Linked DNA regions of Cricetulus griseus. The protein of the gene in region 3 interacts with the protein of the main gene of each other region in a pairwise test. Links are inferred from orthologs where the notes say so. Each region holds a gene or a part of one and is shown on either strand. Other genes may lie near its edges.

Region 1 (4,218 bases), on a different chromosome or scaffold from region 3:
TCCCAAGATTGAGCAGCTAAGATACTGTTTTCACTAGTATAAAGAGAATGCACAGGTTAACATAGTCAATGTTATTAGTTTAACCCACATTAGTACAGATACTATTATCTAGATTTAAAAATATTTACCTATTCCTATTTCTCTGTAAACCATTATATGACCATATTAAGTTCTTATAAACAAATTCCTGTTTTAAAAACATACAATCTAATATCCTAAAAGAAAATTCTTTGTCACCATAGCTTAAAAAATTTTACATTCAACATTTGCTTCAAATATTTGTAAAATCTTACTTTTCTACTGAAACACACAAAAGCATAATGTCATCTAAATTATTGATTGTGCACAGTGTTTACAATAGGTGTGAGACATCACCGTACTTAACTACCATTTTCTTAAACTGCTTATCCTCTGTTGCTTCCATTTATAATCTGCCAAATCTTCTGGTCCTTTGTTGCATGTATAATTTAGAACCATCTGTTCTATGTGCTTTTAACTATTTAAACATTTTTCACCTACCTACAATTCACTAAATAGCAGACATTCAATTCAGTAAAGATTTCTATGTAACATTTTACATTCAACAAATTTCTGGATAAGTAACAGAAAACAGCAAAGGATATTGTTACAGAAATTTTAAAAAACATACCATTTACAATGTAAGTCTTCATATATTAGAAAATCTTAATGTATTTAGAATTTTTTCTATTAGCTTTTTTTTTAAGTTCATTGTAGTCAATGTTTTTCCCCAACACAGAAGACAAAGGGAATGCAAATTAAAGACAGACAGTTTCATGTCCTTGTTAGAAGAGATGTAAATATGCTGACTGAAAATGACTACTGGAGACAGAATTACGCTTTCCCATTCAATTTACTGTGCCTATTTATATACTCGTCAGTGAGTGTATCATTAAGTGTGGTCATGTGACCAGCTCAACTTTTTTTTGTAAGGTGAAAAACTACTTTAGACCAATTTTAATAGACTTTTTATCATTATTTTTATGATGGTTGATAGTTTACAGCAAAAGGTTGCAAAATTATCTTTTAAAGTTAATTCTGCCTTTTATATGCTAAACTACGTTTTTCTGCCAACTTTTTGACTTCAATATTTACTACTAAAACGTAAAAGCATCAAGAATCTCATGATATTCTGAATAGTTCTTCTAAAATGTAAAAAAAACAAAACAAAACAAAACAAAAAAACCCCACGAAAGACTAGACCACAATTACAAAAGGAAAGGTACATAACCTAAGATATGTAAATATTAACTAAGCTAAATTTGTTAACTCTATGGAACCACATAAGAAAGGAAATATATTCTTACAAATACATTTGAAAATTTGAAGAATAAAAACTGAATACACAAAACTAGGTGAATACTAAGTGGCACAATAAAAGTTTCGATAATTTTTTAAAATAATCTTCCTATTGCTACCAAACATTAAATGTGCGGATTTTGCGATTCGTTCTGAATGCAAAATAAAAAATAAAAATAAACCCTTAACTTATCGGTAGACTTACACAGTAACTAACACGATTCCATAAAACGAGAACATTTTGAGGAAAACACAAAACACACACACACACACACACACACACACACACACACACACACACACACACACACACACTTTGGGGAAATTTTCCTGGTAAAGTTTACATGACGTCACATGGCCCCCTGAACCGTTCCTAAACTTTGAGCCTTATCCAGACACACTTTTTGCATTTCTATAGCTTCTTTCCCTTCCTTAAAAATTAAAAGAGAGAGAGACAGACTTGGGAATAAAAATTGCCCAAGATGGCGAAACGCTTGTTGTTTAGAGGACAGGGGGAAAAATGGAGGATATTGTAATATACACAAAGGGATAAATTTCAACAACTCGGCCACGGACTGCAGCTGCTTCTCTCTTTACAAGGAAACAACACACAAAAGATAAATACTGAGGGGAGAAAGGGGCAGAGGAGCCAGCCCCCACCCCCAGGGCCGGCTCCGAGTCTCCGCACACTTCCCAGCCTTTCCAGATCCCAATTCTGGGGTTCGCCGAACTACTTTAGGGGAGGGGAGCGGGACGTCGCGGGGGAGGGCGCGGAGACCGAGGGCAGGGAGCCCAGCCCGCCACGACGGGACCTGCTGGCCAGGCCGCCGGGGACCCGGGAAGCGGGGAGCCCGCTCGACCCGGTGTGCCAGGTACCCGGCGCCGGGCCGCAGCCCCACCCCCCCGGCTCTGGAGACCCGGCGGCCTGGCGAGGGTCGGCGGCGCGGGCGCGAGGCTGCGGACCGGGGACGGAGGCGGGCAGGGCCGGGGCCTCGCCAACTGCCCCGCGGGGCGCCGCAGCGGGCCGGGCAGGAGAACGCCGCGAGGCCGGCGGCGAGGGCGGCCGGCACAATGGAGGGACGAGGCCCGGCCGCCCGATCCCCGCCCGCACTCCCAGCAAAGTTTCCGTTCCGCCGAGCCCGCACCCCCACCCCGCCCGGGACCAGGTCCCTGCGCCCTCCGCCCGGAACTCTACTCAGGACCCCAGAGCCATCGCGGCGTCGCTGCCCGCACAACAAAGAGACACACCAGGCGGCGCGGTAAACAGCGACGGGCGCCTCGGGAGGGCTCCAGCCCGCAGCCGCCGCTCTCCGCCCGGATCCCACCTCTCCCGCACCCCTGCACCCTGGCTCTCAAACTCACCTTCACTTTCGAACTGAGTTGCGGTGGAAGGGATTTTCGCCCTTCCCGGGTGCAGGTTAAGCTTTTCGGAATCCCCACCGCCTCCTTATTTCTCTTATAATTTCTACAAGAAAGTCTAGGGAGTTGGAGTGGAGGTGAGATCCGTGATCGCGAAAGCCCTGGCTCCCTCCGTCCCCGTCTTCCGCCGCTCTCTCTCTGATTAGTTCCTATCCAGCAGCAGATTGAAGCAGGAGATGATTCTTCTCAAGGTTTGTTCAGCAGCTTCACTTCTAGGCGAAGGCTTCATGAACCAAGTGACGTCAACCAACAAGGCTTCTCTCTCTCTCCTCTCTCTAACAATGAAAGTTGCTGTTAACAAGGGGAAAAAGAGCGAGAGAATTGTTTATACCATTTCAGTTCCAATAATAAATGACCTATCAGCTCTAAAAGGATCCAGGGGAGGGGGCTGCTTCTTCATTCCAAGAATACTGTATATGTGAGTTTGCACCGCTCCTCGTCCCAGGAAAAAGTTAAGAAACTTAAATGTTTTGTTTTGCTTTTCAAAGGGGGAGGGGGCAGAACTGAATATTTAATTTTTTAAAAAAACGTAAAGACTATTAAGGAACATAGATTAGCAATCTTCACCAACTTTTATGTTTGTAAACTAGAAATTGTGTTGGAGCCAACAAGCTAAATTAATGTGCCAAGAATTTGTGCATGCTAGGACTCAAAAAGCAGGGCGCAAGGCAAGGTATACCACTGCTTTTCCATGGAGTTAAACTGGTTGTAATGTTCATGGTTTGAGTCAAGATTAAGATTCAAATTAAAGACGTTTAAACTAAGTCCTTTTGCAGTTACTGGTATAAATTGTAAGCCACAGTCTCAATTTTTTTCTAGTTTCCGTTGGGGTGGGGGGGGGGACGGACTAGTTTAAATGTAAGAACTAAAAACACTTTAAAAGACCAGTTGCCCATTACCAACTAAACACGCTGTGTACTATCTGATCCCCAGAATTTCAGGCAGCTGACTCAGTTTTTACCCTTCCACTCCCCAATTCCCTTCAACCAATCAAGTTAAACTAAAGGTAAAGTGCAGCCTGTTCCCTTCAACAGTGTACCCGCGGCCTCCTAAAAAACTATTTTTTAAAAAAAAGGTAGAAAAATTCATAACCATTGTACACTTTATTACCCAGGAAGAAAGGTAATTTAAAAAAAATATTCATTAAGGTGTTTTTCTCCCTTTAGAACACAATAAAGTCTTGAAGTTTATATAGTTACAAATTAGGTAATTTGGTTTTCAGGATGAAGACCAAGTAAAAATTTAGTTATTGGAGAATATTTGACCATATATTATTTTATGCATACATAATGTGGCTAGATGTATCTTAAAAGATGCTATTGTTTTATGTTTCCTCCTCAACCACTGGCTGTGATTTTAATTGTGCTGGAGGATCTTCATTAGTATTAACACATGGGGAGATTTCACAAAGCTGCTTCATTAGGAAGAAAAAAAGCTGGCAGACTAGGTCTTTCTGCATGCACGGAGAATGTCAGCCTTACC
Region 2 (4,266 bases), on a different chromosome or scaffold from region 3:
CAAAGCATATCTCACCAAAAGAAAGGCTAGCTAATGTCCCTCAGACCCCAGGGAGCTCAGAACAACTCTCTGTCTACTTGAAAACACCATTTACAGGCAGTTCCCCATTTCAACCAATGTATGCAATATACACTCTCTGAATGAGAAGAAAACACATTTCTGTCCTTTTGGAGATTGCACCATGCCATGATGAAGACAAATGAATTTTTTTTTTTTGGTGGGGGCAAAAGCATTCAGACATTGGGGAAGAGGATAAAGGGATGTTTTATTTATTTTGAACTGATTGAAACTGTGATTGGCTGTCTCAGAGAGAAGGTGGAGCTTATAGTTCTGTGACAGGAGCAGCAGAATATGTTTCATAAAGAACAGTAGAAGAGCTCATGAATTAAAATCCTATTCAACATTTCAAAATAGGCTTGAATGGAACACAGAGTGCTTTAAATACTACACGGAAATCATTTCACAATATCACCTGGCAGATCACATTGTCTCTCATTAATATATGGAATCTTTACTGAAAAGAGAAACACGTGCTACGTTATTATCCCTGCAGCTGTCACTCTCTATTAGATGTCTTAGCAGTGATTCTCTGGCAGCCCCACATTTATTTTTTTGACATGAAAATATGGGTGTCACAGCATGTGAATGCTGGTTTGAATGACTCATACCCACGATTATCTTGGTGCCTTGCAACTTTATAAAATTTGTTATTTAGAATTTAAATACTCTTCAAAGGGACACATAAAAACACATATAATAGTTATAATCAAATCTAAGCAAGCATGAACTCACTGGAACCCAACAGAGAATCTAAATTTAACACAAAAAAAGAATGAAAAACTGAAAAACTTTCTGGTTAGCAATGAAATATAATATAACCTACAGTATTTATGTATGACCATGTTAAACAGTATTTTAAAAATATATAACAATATTTTACTCCATCAGCTAGAATTATAATTCACTTTGCTTATCAATAAATTATTTTTCCTGTCCACTCTTTATATTGGTCCCCATCCAAGTGAAACAAAGCAATTCCTCTTCTGGCTCACACAGATGTAAAGCACCCTTACTCTAAATGATGCCAAACTGGTCATTTTCATCTAGCCAGGCAAGCTAATGCCTCACCATTGTCTTTAACCTAGTTCTGTGCTACAGGAGAAAACAAATGCGACATTTACCTCTACTTCCTGCAAACCTTTCAATAACTGAACCTCGAGAAGAAGAAAAAAAACTTTTCTGTGTTTCCAGTTCATCTTTGTTTTCAGATTTCCCATATAAATTCCAAAAGCAACCTCCATCCTTCAAGCCACCTTTCCCAATTAATCTTGGGAAGCCAAAGGCTTTTTCCAAACCTGAGAGAGTCCTCCAGACGGAACTTGTTAGAGCCCTTCATGTACCTCAGAGAAAGCAGAGACTTCTCCAGAAGCCTCCTTTGCTAACATCCTCAGGGGGCTGTGCACTGGGAAACAGTCGCCAGTTAAAAAGGGGGGTGGGGTGGGGGGCAGGAGCAAAGCTCAACGAATCCCAAAGCGATACAAAAATACAAAGGGTGCCAGATAGATCCTCCACCCCCACTCTAGGTGAGTACCCATTATGAGGCAGCTAGGTGTTAATACATCTAACCTGAGATCTTACTTGTAGCCCCGTGTTCCCATCTTGCAAAGGAAGCGGATGCAGCTGCAACCTCCCAGCCCCACAGGCATCTGCGTTTTAGGATGAGACATACCAGTCTCACAGCCGGTTCCTCGTTCACTACAGCTTTATGGCTAAGAAACCAGAACAAACCCAGAAAGAGGAACAAATACAGCATTTGATCGCGCCCAACCCCGTCTCTCTTTGTTGTGCATCGCCTAACTGAGGAAGCTTCGGTGGTGCAAGTGAAGAAGGGGATGGGGGGCGGGGAGGAGGAATGTCCAGGACCTTATCTGCCAACCAAACACTCCTGGCTAGGATCTCAGGGGGCGACCGAGGCGCGCAGACAGTCCTGTGTCTTCCCCGCTGGTGGTCTCACAACAAAACTCGATAATGTCTTGGGGAAAGCCCCCAAACCACCTCAACCGCCACATTCGGGCTTTGTGCCAATGAGGAGACACAGTAGCCCATCTATCCATCAGCATCGCCTTATCAGAGCGTGTGGCTGGGCTTCCAGCCTGGCCTTTATGCTCCCTGACGGAGGTAGGACACTCGCCAGCCTCCCAGCGAAGGGCATGGGACAATGGCCTGGCCAGGGGAACACCAGGCGCAGCCAGACGCGGTGAAGGCAAGCTCCAGCTACCGTCCCACAGCTCAGCCCCAAGGCAGGCAGGGCCGCCAGCTCTGAAGGTTCGCTGTTGCTTTAAAATAAAGGACCACAAAGACTTTCTAGAAGGGAAATCACGCCCGGCCACTGCGTCTAGGGAAGACTCGGGAGGGGGTTGAGGAAGGGGTGGGGGCTAGGAGCCAACAGTGGCTCCAGCATTCTCCCTGCCTTCCCCTCTCTCCGCCCTCCCTTCCGGGCTGCTTCGTCAGACAAATAACAGAGAAGGCGGCTCACCGTGGTCTTGACCCGCACGAAGAGCACTTGCTTGGCGCCGCCGCCTCCCCCGTGGACCTCATCAGGCTGGCCCAGCTGGAAACCCTTCGATTTGACCCAGAATTTAAATTTGGCATTGTCGGTAGAGCTTGACTCGGAGCCGTTGAGTAGCTGGACGATCCTCTCGTATTTCTTACGGGTCACCGTCTTGGTCTTGCCTGAGTCCCCGTAAGTCCTAAGGCACCAGTCCTGGAACTGGCGGTACATGTCGCGCTCGCTCTCCATGTTCCCCGGTGATGTCGCGGGCCGGATGCTCCCAGCGCACTTCGCACCTGTTCACTCCGGGTTCATGAAATATGCAGTCCAGGCCACGATGCAAGGACGCTAGGTCCTGGCCCAGCCACGGGAGCCTGCCTCCGGTGGGGTGGGGGGGAGGACCAGGGAGAGAGGAGGAGGGTCCGGATGGGCACCAGCAATCAATGCCCTGTGCTACCAAGTCTGGTTTGTTCCTAATTGCAAAGGATGTCTCGGACGCTTTTTTCGTGCTCTCAACGGTCGTTCCGTTTAATACTGTGTGACCAGCACCATCCCAAGAGCAGCTGACCCAGAAGATCTGGGTTTCTGAATAATTAAAATCCCATTCCTCGGTTTATTAAAAATCCCAATATTGACTTGAGATGCTCCCTAGATGCCTCGCCCCAGGGTTGGGTACAGGGCAGGGCAGGTGGAGCGCAAAGCAGTCTCCTGGCGCGCGCCCCAGAAGCTTCCCCAGTGGATGGTCCAGGAGACAGGGCTGCGCCTCTAGCGAAAGCAGCCCTCAGGCGAGCCTCAAAGGGCACATGGGTCCCTGGATTCTCCTCCTTGCTGGGTCCTGCTCAGCCTTGGCCTTCTATGTGACAGCACTAGAGAGACAGAAAGTTCTTACCTGTCATGTTGGTCAGCCTATCAGATCCTGTTTTACAGGAATTTAAAAGAAGCCGAGGTATCCTAAAAGCGACTCAACATGCCATTTCTTCGGATGTATTAGGCTAAATTCCAGCTCTCAGGTAGGTTGTAAGAGTTAGGTTTCAGAAACTGGTCCAGTATTAATAGATATCTGTTTATAGTTCTATAGGGTAGATGGAGTTACCCAAACAGGAATCCGGTCCAGGGAATGTGGTAGCAGAGAGGCAGGCCGCTGCCTGGGGCTCTTCAGGATGATGAAGGTGTTCCAAGATAGGACCCACTTGGTTCCGCTGAAGTGGGTACAAGACATGGAAATAAGTTTACCGCACAGAACCTTATGCGTAAAATTAAAATGCAGAGAGCAGTCCTTCCCCCTTCCTGGGTTATAGTTTGCAGTTCACGCGGGAGGTTTCGGTTGTCTATTTTCCCACTGCCACGTCATGGACCCCCCTCCGCTGCTCAGAGGAGGCAAATCGGAGTTGCTCCTGACGATTTTCCCAAGCAAAGGAAGTCAGCGATCCCTCCATCAGGATTTCCACCCGTGTGTCACCGTGGCGCTGAAACCAGGGGAGTTCCAGTCCTGCTCTCTGTGGCCGCTCTTCTTTATTGCACTCCCTGCCAAGGCCCCCGCGGGTCGCAGGGTTCGGCCCAGCCTGTCCAATGGCCCGACCCGCACCGTGTTCCTTGAGGGGTCCGATCCCAGCCTGGTGGCTTGCTATGGTCTCTCCAGCGAAAGCCCCAGTGGGAACGCTGCTCGGTCCTCCTGCAGCCCAGTCCCGGTGCTCTCAGGCTGCTCAGTGGCTCCC
Region 3 (3,500 bases):
CTGCCAGACGCTCAACCCATGTTCTTAGACTCTGGCCGTTTTGCACGCTCCCTTAGTAAAAAGAAGGCAGGGTGGCATCAGAACCTCACATACCTCAGCTGCTCATCTGGTTAGCAAGCAGTGCTCTGTAGCTGATTGACAGGATGAATACATCAACAACTGTGTGATGTCACTGTCACCTCACCTTCTGTGACAGCAGCCACCTCCAGGGACCTCACCTGGACCTACTGGGGATAGTGAGGCTTTCTTTTCTTTTCTTTTTTTCCGAGATAGGGTTTCTCTGTGGCTTTGGAGGCTGTCCTGGAACAACTAGCTCTTGTAGACCAGGCTGGTCTCAAACTCACAGAGATCCACCTGCCTCTGCCTCCCTAGTGCTGGGATTAAAGGTGTGCGCTACCAACACCCGGCTGAGGCTTTGTTTTCTTATAGGACCAACCTGTCAGTTACCTGAGCCATGGGCCAGTGAGGACTTGGGGTGTACCCTGCTGCTCACTACCTTGCCATTGCCAGTATGAAAGGATTTTAGAACTTGGGGCACGACCACTCAGGCAGGTGGCAGGTGAATGCTGGGAATGCTATAATATCAGGGTCTGGCTGCCATTCAGTCAGATTCCCTTTCAACACAGCTTGTTCCCGTAAGACCAGGACAAAGACATTCTCTCTACTCTGGGCTCACTGTCTGCCCTGACTGCCAGTATGGTGTGAGGATGTCTCTGCATGCAGTGAGAGGGTGCCAGAGGGAGATGGACACAGCTCTCGGGTCTGTGTATGTTCACATGTGAAATCATAGGACAACTTGCAGGGGTCAGTTCTCTCCTGCACTGTGGGAGTCAGTTACCCTGAAGCCATGCGGCTTGGTGGCAAGTGCCTTTACCCATTGAGCCATCTCACTGGACCAGAGTTTTACTTTATGGGGCAATTCAAGTGAGCTATACAATTGCCCCTCTGGGTCTTAGAGCGAAGTGAGTTCATACCAGAACTCTGCACTTACCCTCCAGTGATCTAGGAACATCACTACCCCTCACTCCCTGCTGCCGCCCCCCCCCCCCCCGTTAGCTGGTAAAGCTGTGTCATGTCCTTGGCTCCACCAGACTTGTGTGCTCTCTGCTTGCCTTGGCATCAGCCACTGAGGACACCCTCCCTACAGTGTACTTACCACACATTTCTTCTCCTTATAGGTATCCGCCCTCAGATCATGAACGGCCCCCTGCATCCCCGCCCCCTAGTGGCACTGCTCGACGGCAGAGACTGTACCGTGGAAATGCCCATCCTGAAGGATCTGGCCACTGTGGCCTTCTGTGATGCACAGTCTACTCAGGAAATCCATGAAAAGGTGGGTTGCACCCCACCTTACCTGGGCCCCTCCAGGCCAGCTGATGTCAGTAAGCACAGTAGTCACACACAGGAATGCCTAAAGTGTATGGAATTCCCGATGTCCTTAGCCTACTCTGCCACCCTCAGGCACTTACTCCATGTCTCCATCCTATAATTTCTGCTAACAAAGTCTCAGAGCCTTGTGTTCCCAGGGGTTCTGACCTGTGACTCATGTCCCTGCCCACAGGTGTTGAATGAGGCTGTGGGTGCCATGATGTACCACACTATCACCCTCACCAGGGAAGACCTGGAGAAGTTCAAGGCTCTTCGTGTGATCGTGAGAATTGGCAGTGGCTATGACAACGTGGACATCAAGGCTGCTGGTGAGCTCGGTGAGTCGAAAGGCCATGCTGGCTGCCTGGAGGCCACACTCAGTAATGGGCAGAACGCAGAAGGCAGGGCAGTTGTCCTAGGGAGTCTTGTTTCCATTTTCCCATGCACCTTTGCCCAGCCTCAGCTCGAAGCAGGTTCAGGGGCTGGAAGATCTTGAGATAAGCAGTAGATTAGTGAGTTCTTCATTGAGCACACCAAAAGAAGCTGGCCACCACCTGCTGTCCATTCCCAGGGTGCTTCTCAGAGAAAACCACAGGCGGGTAGAAAGCTAAGCAGGAAGGTAGAGTACCTGAGTGGCACAGGGGACTCCTGCCCACACCCCCATGAGAATTGGTGTACACTGGCAGCAGAGCCTGGGGGGGTCAGTGGGGAGTGCCTCAGAGCCACGTATTTTGTCTGAATAAAGTGTGCCGCCTCTTTATTCATGAGCCTCATGCATTTGAAATACCTCAGAATAACTAGAAACCCATGTACCGATGGTGCCACAGCAGCCTGAGCATAGTAATGCTCGTACCATCAGCCTGGGCCTACCACCTGCTGCTGCCTCACCCCAAGGGCTCCTGGAACTAACTCCTAGGACAGCAAAGCCAGGTGTGCGCAGTGCCTCACAGTCATCTCTGCACCGGGCCTAACGCTAGACTCGACAGCTCTGTCTATAACCCAGACACACCCGCCATGCTGGCCACTGAAGCAGCACTGGATCCAACTTCCCTTCACAGTCTGAGCCTGCAGCTTTGAGAGGGGTGGGTGCCTGTTTTTAGTTTTCTGTTTCTTTGCATTTAGAGCAGCAGTTACTATGAGCCTGAACCCCAGGATAAGAAAAGGACAAAGGAAGCTGTGCCGGGTGGCACCAGCCAATGCCCACAGTATGTCTGTGGGGCAACCTCACAGGGGAAGGTAGACATCTCATGTAAAGCAGAATCAGTCCTATTCAGCCCGGGCTTTTGAGAGTCCTGGGTAATCATGGCTTCCTATGTCCCTACCCTAAGCAGCCTTGTTCTTTTCCAGTTACAGCCCCTCTGAGCCCCTCTTTGGCAACAGAAGAAACTTGTTGTGATTGATGTGAGGCCACGTACCTGAGTTTAATTGAGAAAACTACCTGGTGCGGTGTTATACACCTGTTATCCAGGGAGGTCTCTTGAGTTTGAGGCCACCCTGGTCTGCATAGCAAGTTTGAGCCTAGCCTTAGCTACTTAGACCCTGTCTCAGAAAAAGAAAGAAAAGAAAAAAGATGTTTCCCAGACACGAGCAAGTATGCTTGTGTTTAAAAATATGTATCTGAGCCTGAAGGAAGTGGCCACACACCTTTAATCTCAGTACTCTGGGAGGCAGAGGCAGGTAGATCTCTGAGTTCAAGGCCAGCTTGGCCAATGGAGTTAATTCCAGGCCAGGGCTGTTACATAGAGAAACCCTGTCTAGAAAAAAAGCAAACAAAAGACGTGTGTCTGTCAGGAATAGAGATAAATTCCCTGAGTTGGGACTATGCAGGAAGACATTCAGCTTTCTAGCCCATTGTCTCTCACACATAGTTCCTGTTGGTAGTCAGCCCCTCTTCTCCAGTCAGAGTCCAAGAAACAGACTGCCTAGGGCCAGAGCGTTGAAAAGTGTAAAGGGGACACGAAGTGTCACTATTGTGGCCCATTGTGATTGGAGTGGCTATTCAGAAGACTTCTGCTAATGAAATAGATGGTCCTCCAGCAGTGTCTGTCATTTAGCTCTAAGTACATATGGTGCCTATCAAGTCAGCCAGCAGACCCTTTGGAGAGTAGTAAGACGAGTGGCAGGTGTGCCCT
Region 4 (4,218 bases), on a different chromosome or scaffold from region 3:
GCCCCACAGCTAACATCAATCCCAACCCTGGAGAGGGCTAAAAATAAAGACTGGAGGCCAGCTCACAAGGTAGCCGTGATCAAATTAGGAGGCTGAGAGGACAGAGAGGGACGAAGAAGGAAGCTTATAAACATCTGATCCAGCTGACTGTGGCCATATGGCAGCTGCTGCCCAGATAAAGAGATTAAGAATAGAGGAGTGCGATTACAGCTGTCTGGCCAATTCAGGCAGCTCGAATCTACAAGTTCTAAATTAGTCGCTAACGCAGAAACTCCTGCAAATAATTATTGTTACGCTGAAATAAAAGATCTCTTAAATATATATCTGAAAGAGAAATGAGGAAACTGGTCAAACTATTCTCCTAGGGATAAAAGTTGTCTTTCTTTTTCTTCTCCCCTCTTCTTAAAAAACAAAAACAAAAAAATCCCAACAACAAAAACCCTCCGGTTTCAAAAGCACTACAGCTGTATGCTGCTTTCAGTAATGCTTGCCGAATGTTTTGGAGAATAAAGTTTCACAGTGGAATTAATTACACAACAACCTAGCTTCTTAACCAGAATAATCTTCTCATATAAGTTTGAAAGCTGGATTCCAGACAGTTTACTGTTTCTGCCCCCCTAAAGCAAAAGGAATCTAAACAGCAGTGAACAACAAAAGGCATCTTAATCCAAAGTGATCTCAAAAAGCCATATTCCAAAGCCTTTCTTACCATCTGAAAACTTGAAATATTTCTGTGTATTAAAGTTATTTACTTGCTCAAAGAAAAGAAATAAAAATTCAAACCAAGCAAGCCCAAGACTTCCAGCTCAAGACCATCACTTCATGCTCAATTTCACACATTATTCATAAAGTGGATTACAAAAGTAATGTGATGTTTTTTTAAAAAAATTAAATAAAACACCCAAACAGAAAGATGCTCAATCTAATCTCTTGCTACTCCTACCTTTAGGACACATAAACTTGATTAAGTCCTTCCCTCGGAGTCTTGCTGGCTCCAGGTCTGTTACATCGGTGGAAAAAAAGCAGACTAAGAGAGACAGATGCAAAGTGGAGATGATGTTGGAGAGGAATGAGATACCTTCTCCACCACAGATCCGCACACACTAGCTCCCTGTCTGTGTGTTAGAATAAAAGGCTGAGGGATGGCAGGCTGTCAGCTGCTCTGACATCATGTTCAGATGGAAATGCTACCTCCAGCTGTGCTCCTTTAATGCCATATGCTACTCCTCTACACTCCTGCCACCAGCTTTTTCTTAGGAGAACTTTTCTCTTCTGTTAGTATAAACAAAATACTTCAAAGTCTTCCTTTTTTTCCCCCCAAACTTTCTAACAGAAGAAATTGAAAAACTCAGCATATGGAGTCCTACTGTATTTATGGAATCGCAACACTTCTGCCTCAAGTTGGTGGACTGGCTTACATATGACAGCACACTCAGGCTCGGTGCTATTCAGGAAACCCACATTCACTTTTATTCAACTCCAACGTCTAGTTTCAAAGGCAGCTTAGGGATATTTTTAAACCAACCCATTTGACATCTCCAGCCCCACTTCGGCATTATTACAGCATGTTTTTTTTTTTCCTCCCCCCGCGGAGATAATGGTAGACATCTCCAAAATGTTGGCAGACTTATTAAGAGCTATTACTTCAGCGTGGTTCACCTTATTATTTCACTCTTACTTAGCAACTTATCTGCAACTACCTCCCAGGAAAATAATTCACACTGCCACCGTGAATGCAGATTTCCATTCTCAGCGTCAACAAACTGAAACTGCACTTTGTGAAATCCTGGAAAGTATTTCGGTTCAATAAAGGCAAATTAATAAACCGACACAACCTGCTGCAGTCACTTAGGATGACTGTTTGGCCACATCTCATGTTTCTGCTCAGAAAAAGGCGTCACTTTGTCTTGCCCTTCTTCCCTATCCCTTTGGGCTAAAGGGTTGTGATCAGCAGGAGTGTAGACTTTGGGAACTTTCTTGGCTGGAGTTTGTGGGTCTTAGTTTCTAATGGCTGATGAAATGCTAAGGTAACCCGGGCTGGGCCGCCCGGTTCCCTGCAAGGTGCTGCGACAACTATGAATGTCAGACACATCTATCTCTACAGACTCTTGGGAGGTCGAGGAGTAGAAAAAAGAAACTGGGGCCTGAGGCGCAAACGTCCCAACCCGGGCGACAGCCACTCTTAGGCTCGCCTTAGAAAACGGAGGCAGGGAGCTAGAGAACAAAACCCCAACTCTGTCCTGCCCTCGCTCACGAGTCACTAAGAAACCTAACTTTCTCTAACTTCGCGGTGAATGACATAATTCTGAACTCGTTCTGGAGGCACACTGGGCAGACACATTACTTCCCTGCTACACACACCCTCTTCTCCGCGGATGCCCTCGCCCCATTCCAATATATCCGACGTTAATCACCCCGTTTACTCACTGGGGTGATGGTGGGGGTGAGTGACAGTTTAATGAGCCCCAAGGACCGCAATGGCCCGGAGACATCCCGTCCAAGTCTCGCTACCGCGGACCCGCGGGGGCTCTGTGAGGTTTGGGGTTTTGTTTCTCAGAGGTGGGGGCAGGGTGCCCCGGGTGTGTTTGAGGTTTTGGGGTGGAGGGGGGGGATGCAAATCTTCGCGCAGTTCGCCGTGCATAAAGCACTTGGGGAAAGAGGAAGGGTGAAACCACTGGGAAGGAGGTGCAGGGCAGAGAGCCGGTGCAGCAGGAAAACACCTTCCACAACGGCCGAGAAAACAGCCCCGGGTCGCGGCAACAACAAAAGAAAAGTCGCAAGAAGCGGCGCGGCGACCGCTCCCCGCCGCCGCCGCCGCCGCGCGCCAGCCCCGGGCCTCCCGGCAACCGCAACCCGGGCGCCGCGCCCTCCCCCCCGGCCCTGCAGCTGCACCGGCCCCGGAGCCGCGGCCGTCCCGGGCGCTGCAGCTGCGGCGGCCCGGACCCCTCCCCGCCCGCTCGCCCGCCCGCCCGCCGCCCTCCGCACGGGAGGCGCCGCCGCAGTGCACCGGCCGCCCCGCGCCGCAGCTGCCGGGGAGCGCGGCCAGGCGAGGCGAGGCGAGGCGAGCCCGCACCGCACCGCACCGCACCGCCGCCGCCCCCTCCGCCGCACTAACTAACTCCCCCGGCGGGACCCACGGCCGGCAGCGGGGCAGGGCGGGGCGGGGACTCACACGGAGCGGCCGAGTCGCCGCGTCCCCGCCGCCGTCCTCCTCCTCCTCCTCCTCTGCCGCCGCCGCTGGACTTGTGGGCGTCCTCCGCCGGCCCCCGCCCGCCGCCGGCCCCGGCCCGGGCCCGCGCGCCCCCGCCGCCCCCGCCCGCGTGGCAGCCTGAGGCGCGCCGCCGAGCCACGGGCCACTCTTTAACGGCCATCAGGCAGCCCCAGCGCGGCCGCAGCCTGCCAGACGTACGGGCGCGGAGCGGGCGGCGGGCGGGCGGCGGGCGCGGCGGGCGGGCGAGCGCGGCGCCGGGCCGGCGGCGGGCGGGGCGGGCGGACGACGCACACGCACGCACGCCGCGGCGCGCGGCCCAGATGTGGCCCCGCCCGGCCGGGCCGCCCCGCGCCGGCCGCTCGGCGATTGAGCGAAAGCGGCGGGCCCCGGTCGCTGGCCCGCCCTCGGTCGCAGCGTTGCCCAATAGAAGAGCGGCGTGACGGGGTGGGCGGAGGGGCGGCGGGACTGACGGGGAAGCTCGGCCAATGGCAGTGGCGGGTAGGAGCTGCCGCCCGCGCGCGCCAATCGCAGGGGGCGACTGTTGGGTGGGCGTGGCCTCTTCGAGGGGGAGGCGGAGTCCGCGGGCCGCGGCGGCGGCGGCGGCGCTGGCGCTGGCGGCGGCGGCGGCAGCGGCGCCCCTCTGGGTGACTTGGCCGTGAGAAAGTGAAAGGAGCCCGCAGGCGGCGGCGACAGCTGCGCGGGGAGGGGCCTGTTTCCAGGCTGGAGACGAGCGCGTTCTGGGGGTGTGGAGTGAGAGAGTGAGTCTGCGTGCACCGCGACGGCCTCGAGTGTACTTTTACACGGGGCAGGTGTCCCGGGGAGGCAGTGCGCGCGGGGCCGCAGCTGGCCGGGGCCGGCCTGGGGCGGCTGGGTCTGGCCCTCCTGCGGTGCTCGCTTGGGCCGCGTCCCGGGGACGCGCCGCGCCGCGCCGCCTCCGGCCTGTGGTGTCGGCCGCCAGGTGCACGGGGGCCGCCAGCTCGGAGCGGCTGCGAGAGGCGCTTTTTCCC

Evidence for each region.
Region 1: the proteins of Ctbp2 (region 3) and Baz2b interact in binary tests that used the Homo sapiens proteins (3 or more experiments, as listed by UniProt). The two-hybrid records come from large-scale screens. The link is inferred for Cricetulus griseus from reciprocal best matches to the Homo sapiens genes CTBP2 and BAZ2B.
Region 2: the proteins of Ctbp2 (region 3) and nucleolar protein 4 interact in binary tests that used the Homo sapiens proteins (3 or more experiments, as listed by UniProt). The two-hybrid records come from large-scale screens. The link is inferred for Cricetulus griseus from reciprocal best matches to the Homo sapiens genes CTBP2 and NOL4.
Region 4: the proteins of Ctbp2 (region 3) and Zbtb18 interact in binary tests that used the Homo sapiens proteins (3 or more experiments, as listed by UniProt). The two-hybrid records come from large-scale screens. The link is inferred for Cricetulus griseus from reciprocal best matches to the Homo sapiens genes CTBP2 and ZBTB18.

What each region holds. Positions count from the first base shown.
Region 1 is NC_048599.1:114,750,975-114,755,192, reverse strand, and holds the start of Baz2b (bromodomain adjacent to zinc finger domain protein 2B), read right to left. Parts: upstream 2,801-4,218; 5' UTR 2,680-2,800; intron 1-2,679. UniProt on the Homo sapiens protein: Regulatory subunit of the ATP-dependent BRF-1 and BRF-5 ISWI chromatin remodeling complexes, which form ordered nucleosome arrays on chromatin and facilitate access to DNA during DNA-templated processes such as DNA replication, transcription, and repair.
Region 2 is NC_048595.1:214,073,951-214,078,216, reverse strand, and holds the start of nucleolar protein 4, read right to left. Parts: upstream 2,801-4,266; coding exon 2,537-2,800; intron 1-2,536.
Region 3 is NC_048596.1:67,839,129-67,842,628, forward strand, and holds part of Ctbp2 (C-terminal-binding protein 2), read left to right. Parts: intron 1-1,178; coding exon 1,179-1,333; intron 1,334-1,561; coding exon 1,562-1,706; intron 1,707-3,500. UniProt on the Homo sapiens protein: Corepressor targeting diverse transcription regulators. Functions in brown adipose tissue (BAT) differentiation. Isoform 2 probably acts as a scaffold for specialized synapses.
Region 4 is NC_048598.1:16,377,965-16,382,182, forward strand, and holds the start of Zbtb18 (zinc finger and BTB domain-containing protein 18), read right to left. Parts: upstream 2,801-4,218; 5' UTR 957-2,800; coding exon 944-956; intron 931-943; exon of another isoform or gene 1-930.